3 linked regions of the Oryzias latipes genome follow. The protein of the gene in region 2 interacts with the protein of the main gene of each other region in a biochemical or structural test. Links are inferred from orthologs where the notes say so. Each region holds a gene or a part of one and is shown on either strand. Other genes may lie near its edges.

Region 1 (3,757 bases), on a different chromosome or scaffold from region 2:
AGCAACAACGCAGAGTTCTCTGTAACTGACCACCTAAATTTTCTCCCCAACTCCCAGCCCCTTTTAGCACCTTCTGCAGAAGGCAATTACAAAAGGAGTCTGTAAACACGGGGACTTACAGAAAGCCCAGCAGCCCAGATGTTAAAGGAGTTTTATTCACCTCAGCAACAGCAGCGACTAATGTAACATCGTCGGTCCACAAGCTGTAGTCTCTCATCACACAGGCTCTATCTCATTTATGATAATTGCACTCTATCTTTATATTTCTGTGATCTTTTTGTAACATTGGTACATTTTTTCTCTTTATCACAATGTTGACATTTCAGTTACCTTCCCCTTGTCTAACAGTATCAGATAAAGTACTGTCAGATCACAGTTCTTCCCACCCCAGATAATGTTCATTGACCATATTTTAGCCTTTGCCTTAATAAAATGCTTCCAAGAATTATGGGTAACAAGTGGCTGGAACCTACTGGCAAGACACTCAGGAACATGTTTAGCTTTATTCATCAGATTATCCATCTGCAAACTACAAAAAGTCTTCATTCATCAAAATGTATAAAAACATTACTGCATCGCTCAAAGGCCATGATCTAACACTCATTAACCAAAGCACTCTGCAGTTCAGATTTCAGCTAAAAAGGAAGTGTTATAAAGTTTACAGACCAGAAGCATAAACACGCTGGTGGGTGTGCCAGAGAGACCATTCACAGGAAGAATTTGTTTGGGTTGGGCATGGCTTGCATGACTGAATAATGAGGTCAAAATGTGTGTTTGTGTGGATCTGCATGGTGGGCTTTTTGATCCTAATCATTGAAAAGCTTGCAAACAAAGTGTAGGTCATGGGGTAACCTTTGACCCCACAAAGCAAACGGCGCAGATATGATTCAGTCTTCAGTATAGTAACCACAACAATATCTAGTAAACTATTTCATATATTATATTTTTTTAAATAATATGTAACTGTCTAAGAACATACTAAAAGCTAATTTTCCAATGAAATACATCTGCATTTCATAATAGCCAAAGGTAGAGGTACTTTAACAAAGTAAAAACCGCATTATATTATTTTAATCATAATAAGACCTCTTTTATGTTTTACAGCTCAATATTGTTTTTATTACAAAGCAGGAAAAAAATTTATTTTTATTTTTTAAAGCTGTAAATTATGTTTATTTGAAGAAGCTATAAGCCTGTTTAGGCACTCCTGAAAAGACTTGAATCTTCTTATTGGCTCATAGTGGGAACCCCCCCCCAAATACATTGAAAACACGACCAACAACCATTCCGTCATTTAAAAAAGTTCGTGTGGAAAAAAATACAACCCGTGTCTCTGTCTGTTCCGCAGGGACAGAATATTTTAAATTTCATTTGAGTTTTTATTTTTGATTTTGTTAATTATTTTGCACTTCAAAGGCTCTTTATGTATAACAATCGCCTAACCATTATAACTAAAATAAAAAAAGCATTTACGTTGATGATTAATTTCCCTCATTATCGACGAGGCTCTAAAAGTCTGGCTTTTTTTTACTATTTAGCTGTTTGTTTGTTTTTTCAGGTCAAACAGGTAGTTTTTCAACCACCTATTCTGTCATGACATAATTATTATATATTCGTGGTTTTTCAATTCATCGCCAAGTTACGATTGACGCAGAATTTTTTTTGTTGCTAAAGAAAGGCAGTGTTGGCGATGAATTAACCTGGAGCTGTCACACAGCTACTGTACTGCTAACACAGAAACCATAAAAATAACAGGTCTCGGAGACCGGAGGTTTAAACTAACACACGTTCTCGGTTGCCCCTTTAACAGTGTGCTCGTAAACTGCATTTTATTTACAGCTGTTCATTTCGACCTTGTCAAAAGAACCACTTGTCAACTGAACAAAGTTAGCATTTGATGCTAGTTTTGTCAACCAAAGGGAAAGGAAGCTTGATTTCCACACCGGGACTTGTCGGAAACGACAAAGTACGCCGTTGTTAAGTAGCCTTTAACTAAGATATTTAACCCCGCCTGACTACGGAGGACAAAATGAACAACCAAGCGCCCGTGATACGAAACCAGACACGGATAGGCCCGTGTCTCTAAACCAAGCACTCCTGACAACAACAGAAGCGACGCCGGCCGAAGAGAAGCCTAACAGTGTACCATTTGAAGTATCCGTCGGAGCATGGCGTTGGCTTGGCTTGGCTTGGCTTGGCTTGGCTTGGCTTGTCCTGACGCAAACTGAATCCAGGTGCTTAAATGAAAAGTTTACGTCTGAGAACGACGAGCACCTGACCAGACACAGGGAGCTGAGCAGCAGCGGCGGATGGGCGGGTCATGTGGAGATGGACGCAAGAATTTCACTTCAACATGGTCAAGATCTGCAGCACGACGAAATGACAACTAAATATAAAACGGAATATTTTCGTTTTGGTATACATATATACATATAACTTGATGTAGCACACAAGATTAGTCACAAACAAAAAAAAACTATGAATAGGAAAAAGGCTTTATTTAAAAATATAAGCCAAGGGCAATAATAAAAACGTGGTTTCTTGTTTTATCATAATGAATTTTTAATCATTTTTTTTCCTATTTAATATTTTCTTTAAAATTACATTTCCTGTCCATGAGATCGAACATAATTCTCCTTAAAACAATAACTTAACCTGCAGCAAATTGTATAAATTATATTTATTAATGATACTTAAAGTGCAATAAATAAGAGTTACCTCAAAAAGTGATGATCAAAGTAAAAATAAAGGTTTGGTTCTGGTACAGAGACGTGGAGAAAGAAAAACACAAAGTCATTTTACTATAAAATTTGAATTGTTTTTATTTAATAGGATATTTTTAATTCACATTTAAAAGGTGCCTGCATAATTTTATGTTTTATAAATATGATTTTCTTCAGAAAAACTGCTTCATCATATAATTAAAGAAAATTTTAACTACTAGCAGAAATCTGGGGTTTTACCCATCACTTCAAATGAGCACAAAATGACACTAGAAAAAGCCACAATTTTTCTACAAAACATTCTACAAAAAAATCAAATTGGCACCAGCTTCATACAGTACAAATCTTATGAAAACCCCTGACAGCTCAACTCAACATATAGTTCTCTTGTAATATCTTTACATTGCATATGCACAGCAAAGTTAATCCACCTGATATTTTAAGTAGATGCTTGGCTTCAACTGCAGTTGGAAAATATTTAATGAAATTGATAAATACATTTATAAAGAATCATACATCTCTTTAGTCCAATTCAACTTGGATTTGATATAAATTCATTCTGTACATTTTAAAAGGCAGGGTTAATGCAATCATCTCAGACCATGAAGTCCAACACAGTCCTCTCGGTGGATCTGCCTGCAGTGAGTCTTATCTGTTGACCAGATCAGAGCCCTGTGTGGAGCAAACAAAGCAATGGGATGCACCGTTTTCTGCCACACGAGTGCACGGACAGCTGTCGGTACTTGGGGTATAGACACGAAAAGGACCACAGGAGTCTGCGAGTCTCAGCAGGTACTCTGCGTGGACAGGCTTGTGGCTCTGCAGCTCTTCGATGGCTTCATCAATCTTAAACCACTTCCTCTTCCTGCCTGTGAGGGCACTCGTGGAAGGACAAAAGAGAAGTTTAAATGTAGATAACAGTACTCAACAGGTGAGAGTAAACAATGCTACTCTGAGGTAAAGCATTGAATAAATGCTCATTAAGGTACTTCTGCAAAGACTAAAACAGAATAAAACACATTTTAAAAGACATG
Region 2 (3,722 bases):
TACATGTGCTGCCGTCAGCTCATCACTTCTATCACAGGCCTTCAGACCATCATGACATGAAGCCTTTTGTCGGGAGAGTTTACTCTTCACATTCTACGCTAATGACACGCCAATTCATGAGCCTGATAGGATTATCATCCAGATTACAGACTGCTGATTTAATGTCTTATGTGTAGTGGTTTGTCCTACGGAAAAAACAAAAAAAGAGACACAAAAAAAGTCTTGTATATGTGGGTTTTCTCTGGTTTCCTCCCAAAGTCCAAATAAATGCTCCATAGGGTAATTGATGATTCTAAATTGCACCTATACGTTTGCATGTGTGTATGCTTGTGTGGTCCTTTGACAGACCGTCCAGGTTGGGCCCTGCCTTCACCCGGCAGTAGCAGGGACAGGCTCACGACTTGGAAAATTGTGAAAAGACTCGTAGTCTTGACTCCATAGCGCACTCAAAGCTCCTCTGAATCTACTTTACTGAAGTTCTGTCATCATGCTGGAAATGTGAGCATAGAAAAGAAATATTCATGAAAACCTCACTCAGCAGAGGACAAAAACTCACCCGTTCCTGACCAGCCGTGTCCCAGATCAGAAACTTGTGCAGCTCATTCCCACAGGGGACGGTTTTGGTCAGGAATGATGCTCTGTGGAGGATTCAGCGGATTACACAAGCATTCAAATATCCAGTATTTAAAGACCTACTCCAATGAAAAAGGACTTTTTGGTGTTTTAACATGTTTTTCTAATATTTTTCTAATGATGGAGGACAATCGTGCTGTTCTTAAGCCTTTCAGAGTAAACTGTAACCATTTATATGATGGTATATGATAGTATATTACCTTTAGCACACTAAAGAACACATTTTTTTCATTAAATGCGATTTATTTTCACACCTCATTTTTATACCGGAATTAGACGCCTCGATCTCTGAGGCTCCGCCTTTTGCTGCTTGTGGGTGTTATGACGTCATCACAGTGGCGGCCTCTGCGTTTCTCCCACGAAAACAACCGAACTTTTACAAAGATGGATGTAAATCTCGTGCATAGAAAGGGGAAGCATTCAGCTAATCACCACTAGCTCCACTGAAAAAGTGGGCGTGTCTGTTAGCCTGGAGGCGGGACTGGCAGCACAGACTCTTCCTGAAAGGGGCGGGAACTCAGAGAGCAGGTAGAGGAATACTCAGAAATGTCTAGACGAGTCAAAACACCACTTTGGGGTTGTGTTTTTTTATTTTGTGAGGAATTAACATTATAATACGCTTAAAACGTTGATTTTGCATGATATAAAACCCCCGTTTCTCTATCAGGAGACTGGACTCCAATCCCAGTGTCCTCTGCCAGGAGGATGGCACCCTCACCCCACCCTCACCCCCCTTTGCAGCCCAGCCCTCAATGACTCAAAGCCTGCATACAAACAAACACAAAAACAACATATATCGTTTATTTTACTCTATTAATCAGATGAGTAAAATATATTTGTGTAGTTGATTTCGCAATTAAGATCTAGTATGTAAGGTAGTTCACACTTAACACGCATCGGATTGTATTTTATTTTTAAAGGCTGGTTCTGGTAAAAATGTTCACATTTCCACTGTTTTTTTGTTGTTTTTTTCTTGAGCTGAATACAACCCTGACACAATTATGAATGAATAAATCCACAACCTTGAATAGACTTTTCCATCTGTCTAAGCCCCTCCTCCGCCTCTCTACCTGCTAAAGAAATACACAGCAGCAGGTTGACACGGCAGTTGGGCGCCCTAGCACAAATTTTGTTAACTTTATGGGGAAGTGGGCGGCTCTAGTCCAGGATAGAAAACTGTCAAAGTTTTTAGTGGGTTTTTTCTTGCGGGGGGCGCCCCCTACAAGATTGCGCCCTGGGCGACCGCCCATAGAAAAAACCACTGCCTCCTGGTTGTTGTTCTCCGTCTCTGTGTTGGTGTTTGGTGGACATTTCAGGACGCTTGTCCCGCACTTACCCGATGGTCGGGCTGATGTTGTGATCGAAGTGGTCCTGAACGAACCGGCATACGATGCTGGACTTCCCGACTCCAGTGTCCTGGAACCAAAAAGGGGTACGCGTCAGTCCCGCATGAGTCACGCATCCTTCACCCCATCTCATCGGGACAGGAGCAGCATGCGGTGTGTTCAGGAGGTCGTTTACAGCGGTCGTGTGTGTGGGGACATAGTGACAGTTCGGTTAACTTAGTCCTCATCTGCGTGACGGGAGCCTGGAAGGGCCACGAAGCTCGAAAAAGTTCAGAGTTCATCGTTTTAGTTTATGAAAAACACAATGGCGGCGCTTTTTAAATAAAAGATCACAAAGTATACTGGATCAAACCAACGCAGAAAAAGACAGCACGGGGGGGGGGGGGTTCTTCTCCCCTATTTTCTGCTAACGCAGCAGAAAAATCTCTAACGTCTGCGGTCAGCGATGAAACAAGCTTTTAAAACGTCTTAAATAAAGTTGAAAGGTAGGACGAAATATTTTTGTTTAAAACCTGCGATGCGAAGCTCTACATGAACCCCCCCCCCCCCCCCCCCCAAATCTGTTTTCCTCAGAAACATTTGAAGTATTTCTGTTTTCAAACACGACAGGCAAGGAGAAGTGAGGGGAAAGTCCATTTAAACATTTACTTAAGTGACAAAAGGGGCATTTAATGTTTGGAGTTGAAGTTGCAGCCAACTAAAGAGGAATTTTCTCCGGAGTGCATCATCAAAGAAAAACTCACCCCTAAAAGACAAACTTTGAGCTCCCGGATGGCCATGGCGGGTCCTGGAACTAAGCGGTTAGATCATCGTTGAAATGCGCGGATTCAGTGTCTTCGCTCCTCCATGCTGCCGAAATCTCCTTTTCTCAGATTAAAAAAAACGACCAAGCCCTGACACAGCCTGGCCATCCTCCGGAGAAGCCCGTTTGATGGAAAAAAAAGAGAAAAAAAAGCAACAAATGGGAAACTTCCGGCGGCGTCTTTCAAAGTAAAAGCTTTTTATGACGTCGGTCATCTGTACACTTGGAGGTTTTCAATCAATACTGCAAATGTCATCAAGTTTTTATTTAAATCTAAGCCGAGTTTTTGTTCGAAGGTACTTATTAATTTTAGTTACAGATCTGAGGACTGAAAACTGAAGTATAAAGTACCATAAACTAAAATGTGTAACAGAAATGAATGCTTTTGAAGAAACTAGAACATTAAACATATCTTTTTGTGTAAATATAGTAGGTTAAAAAAAAGCAGTTGAAGGTGAAACAATTTAAATAAAAGAAACCAAATCCAGTCTGCTTCCTTACCTTCTGTTACGGTAACTGAAATCAACCTGGATAAATACAAATTTACACACAACTTTATGTAAAATCATACATATACATTTATCAAAGTAAATGACAACCACACACACCAACAAAAATATGTGTACTGTAGGCTGCAAATGAAACAGTTTTCATATTTTCTGTTGAGTTTATTTGGTTTTAAAATCTAATCATTTCACAGCTTTTATTTTGGTGGGATTTTGTTAACATTGACAAGCTAGATTTCTAAAAGAAAGTCCTTAACTTTCTCACCATTCGAGTCCAACAGCCTCTTTTAGAGAAATGCACAGGTTTATAAACCAGGAAGCAGATTTGAAACAAGACGTCAAGTGCTAAATGAGGAAAAAACACTTTCAGGATCAAAAACGTTTGGGCGAGAAAAAGTTTTAAGAATGATACTTTATTCTTCACAGCATTAGTTT
Region 3 (2,825 bases), on a different chromosome or scaffold from region 2:
TGGCAACTTTTGTCTCTTATATCATGCGACACCTGATTGGTGGCTGGTTGAACATTTATAACTCAAACAGGAAGCTGGGCAGAGTGTGTATTGTGTCTTGAGTGCATGCTGAATGAAGTGATCTGCCCTGGAACTCTTGGGTGTAAATATTAACTTTTTTTTTCTCTAGCATGAATAAATAATTCATTTTCCTGAGCTTCAAACAAAAACATTTGCTCTGTTTGTTCCACCCATAATACACTGCTGCTATCGATACTGTACCATCTGGAACGTTGTTGAATTTTCACTGTGTTTTACAGTTACAATGCAGAAAACATGTCCACTAAACCAGGGGTCAGCAACCTTTAACACCAAAAGAGCCAAAAAAGACACTAAATATGTATTGGTGTGGCCATAAAGCCATTCATTTATGATATGTAGCTTTTAAATATTGATAATTATTAAATTCCAAAAGTGTTACATTTTTCTATAAATAACAACTTTAACTTGTTTACTTTTTTTTTTTTTTACAGCAACACATACAAGATCCTTTCAAAATAAAGTACACCCTGGGTGGAATCAGATCCTCCTGCTGCAGCAGATTTACTTGAAGTAGTAATGCAAGACAACAAAGTCAAACATGGGATCTTCTACTATTATGACAACAGATGCTACATGCTATTGTGCTGCATGGATTAGAATATGTGTTTAACTAGCTTATTTAATATCTATTTAAATCATTAGCATTTTTCTTTTAAATCCAAAGAAACACAATGAAGGGATAAAAAAAATGCGTGTGAACTATGAAGCCATTTGTGAAATGTGAAATCTTTCAGCCACCTTCGTTCTTGTAGCTCTGCATGAGAGAACAAACTCCCCTTAAAAAATGAGCCCTCTGCATTCAGATCGGCCTTCAAGCAGATAATATTGTCAGAACTAAACCAGTTGACTGAACCAACGTGTGATCATCTCTGGGAAATGCTACATGGATAACACTTACCTATTAGAGAGGCTGTTAGGTTATTGTTGTGTGAATGCTTGAGGAGCTCCTTCAGAAAGGCCAGTAAGTAGCGAAAGACGTTGCGGTGTGCTCGCGGCAACAGTGAGATCAGCTGGAAGACGGCAAAGCAAACACAAACATCATCACAACAAATAGAAAAAAATAAAATAATAGAAATCTGTAAGCCTTTTTTTGTCTGCAACTGCCAACAGTTGACTACTGTCAACATCAGACTCGCTGTGACTGACCTGCTTGCAGAGGCGGCTGTCGTGAGCGCATTCTAAGCACCGCTGGTAGAGCTCGTAACACACCACGGGTTCAGGCAAGGCCTCGAGGAAGATCAGCAGAGCCTCAGCTACAGAGTGGTTACAACCAGCTATGCAGGGAGTTAAAGACTGAGATAGAACAAGCCTTCACAAAGTCTAAGCTGGGATAGTCAGCAGATCCAACTGTGTTTCTAAAATGAGCCGTTTCTGTGTCTTGTTTTTATTTACTTTAAGTGCAAAATTGGAAGAGTTCCTTTCACAATATCTAACATAGTCTTAAGGAATGCACAGCAGAGGATACGGATGGAGTCTGGGATGCTGGTGTCAAGACACTCAATGATGTGCTGGAGTTCCTCTTGTAAGCCTGGTGTCTGGAACAAGTCCTCCTGTGAGACAGCACTCAATATTAAAGCAGTCCACACCAGTTTATCAACAAAACTTACAGCTGTCACTATGAAACATTTTATATGAAAAAATACATTGTAATTTGTGGAACAAGTCCTTAAATACATTTGACTACATCATAAAAGTACTCAAAGTGCCTCTGATACAGACCATAAACAGAGTGATACTGACTGGCGCCAACCTATAACCATCAGGAGCTATGTGGGGTTCAGCACCCTGCCCAAGGGCACTCCGACACATGGGCGAGCAAGGCGGGAACCAAACCTGTGATCCTCCAATAAGAGGTCGACTGCTCTACTTTTGCACCACGGCTGCCCCTTATTAGGTCTACATTACAGGGTTCCAAGCAGTGAGAACAGTGAAGATGAAACTTGACTGGACAGGATCCCAAACACATCACCCGGACAACGAAGGAGTGGCAAGTCAGTCAAGGTTTTGGAGAGGTGTGGCCAGTGTCTCAATCAGACAGAGAATCTGTGTAGGGAGGAGAACGTCTCTGTTGCCCAGCAACAGTTCCACATCATCACAGCTCATGAGAAGATCTACGTGGAAGAATGGACCCAAAAAGCAGCTACAGTGCAAACCTGGTTGACCTTTAACCTCTCTCACGGACAACCAGGATGACATCACAAAGTATTGAGATCCATTTTTAATATTGATGAAATACCTTCAAATAAATGACAAACTTTACTTCTTCTTTTACTTAAGCCTGTTATTCCTCTGTGTTCATCTCTTCTGATGCACAAAACACCACAGAATGTTATTTAAGATGACAATGAGTTGTCAAAGTAAAAATATAAAAGAATATATTAAACCAGGACTGAACAATCATGCTCTTTGAAGTGCATTTATGTTGCTCCAATCTAACTGTGCACAATCATTGCTAGCCTGGTACATAAAGACTTTTTCTTATCGCCATCATAAACCCACGCAATCCGTCTGCCACATCCCGTCTTTTCCTCTTAACTCATTCACAAGCTCAAGGCCATAAACTTCCATATCTGCTTTATGCTACTCAATAAAGTCCCTCTAAACAATGGGAACTCTGAATCTCCAATTTATCATTTCTGAAATCAGTCCTTTATGCTTGTATCTAAGGCTGTGCCTGAATTATGAAAACATTACCCCCCATAATCCAGCCGCTCTTTTCTTTGATCTTGTTAAAAAACGTCATT

The links.
Region 1: the proteins of rab31 (region 2) and eea1 form a complex in vitro, tested with the Homo sapiens proteins (2 studies listed by BioGRID). The link is inferred for Oryzias latipes from reciprocal best matches to the Homo sapiens genes RAB31 and EEA1.
Region 3: the proteins of rab31 (region 2) and ocrl form a complex in vitro, tested with the Homo sapiens proteins (2 studies listed by BioGRID and IntAct, with this or other methods). The link is inferred for Oryzias latipes from reciprocal best matches to the Homo sapiens genes RAB31 and OCRL.

The regions. Positions count from the first base shown.
Region 1 is NC_019864.2:21,590,957-21,594,713, reverse strand, and holds the start of eea1 (early endosome antigen 1), read right to left. Parts: upstream 2,336-3,757; 5' UTR 2,171-2,335; coding exon 2,147-2,170; intron 1-2,146. Other genes in the region: diphosphoinositol polyphosphate phosphohydrolase 3-beta, read right to left, coding at 3,372-3,592. UniProt on the Homo sapiens protein: Binds phospholipid vesicles containing phosphatidylinositol 3-phosphate and participates in endosomal trafficking.
Region 2 is NC_019875.2:4,811,288-4,815,009, reverse strand, and holds the start of rab31 (ras-related protein Rab-31), read right to left. Parts: upstream 2,937-3,722; 5' UTR 2,759-2,936; coding exon 2,723-2,758; intron 2,050-2,722; coding exon 1,970-2,049; intron 639-1,969; coding exon 557-638; intron 1-556. UniProt on the Homo sapiens protein: The small GTPases Rab are key regulators of intracellular membrane trafficking, from the formation of transport vesicles to their fusion with membranes.
Region 3 is NC_019868.2:9,863,364-9,866,188, reverse strand, and holds part of ocrl (inositol polyphosphate 5-phosphatase OCRL-1), read right to left. Parts: intron 1,632-2,825; coding exon 1,547-1,631; intron 1,356-1,546; coding exon 1,228-1,355; intron 1,092-1,227; coding exon 980-1,091; intron 1-979. UniProt on the Homo sapiens protein: Catalyzes the hydrolysis of the 5-position phosphate of phosphatidylinositol 4,5-bisphosphate (PtdIns(4,5)P2) and phosphatidylinositol-3,4,5-bisphosphate (PtdIns(3,4,5)P3), with the greatest catalytic activity towards PtdIns(4,5)P2.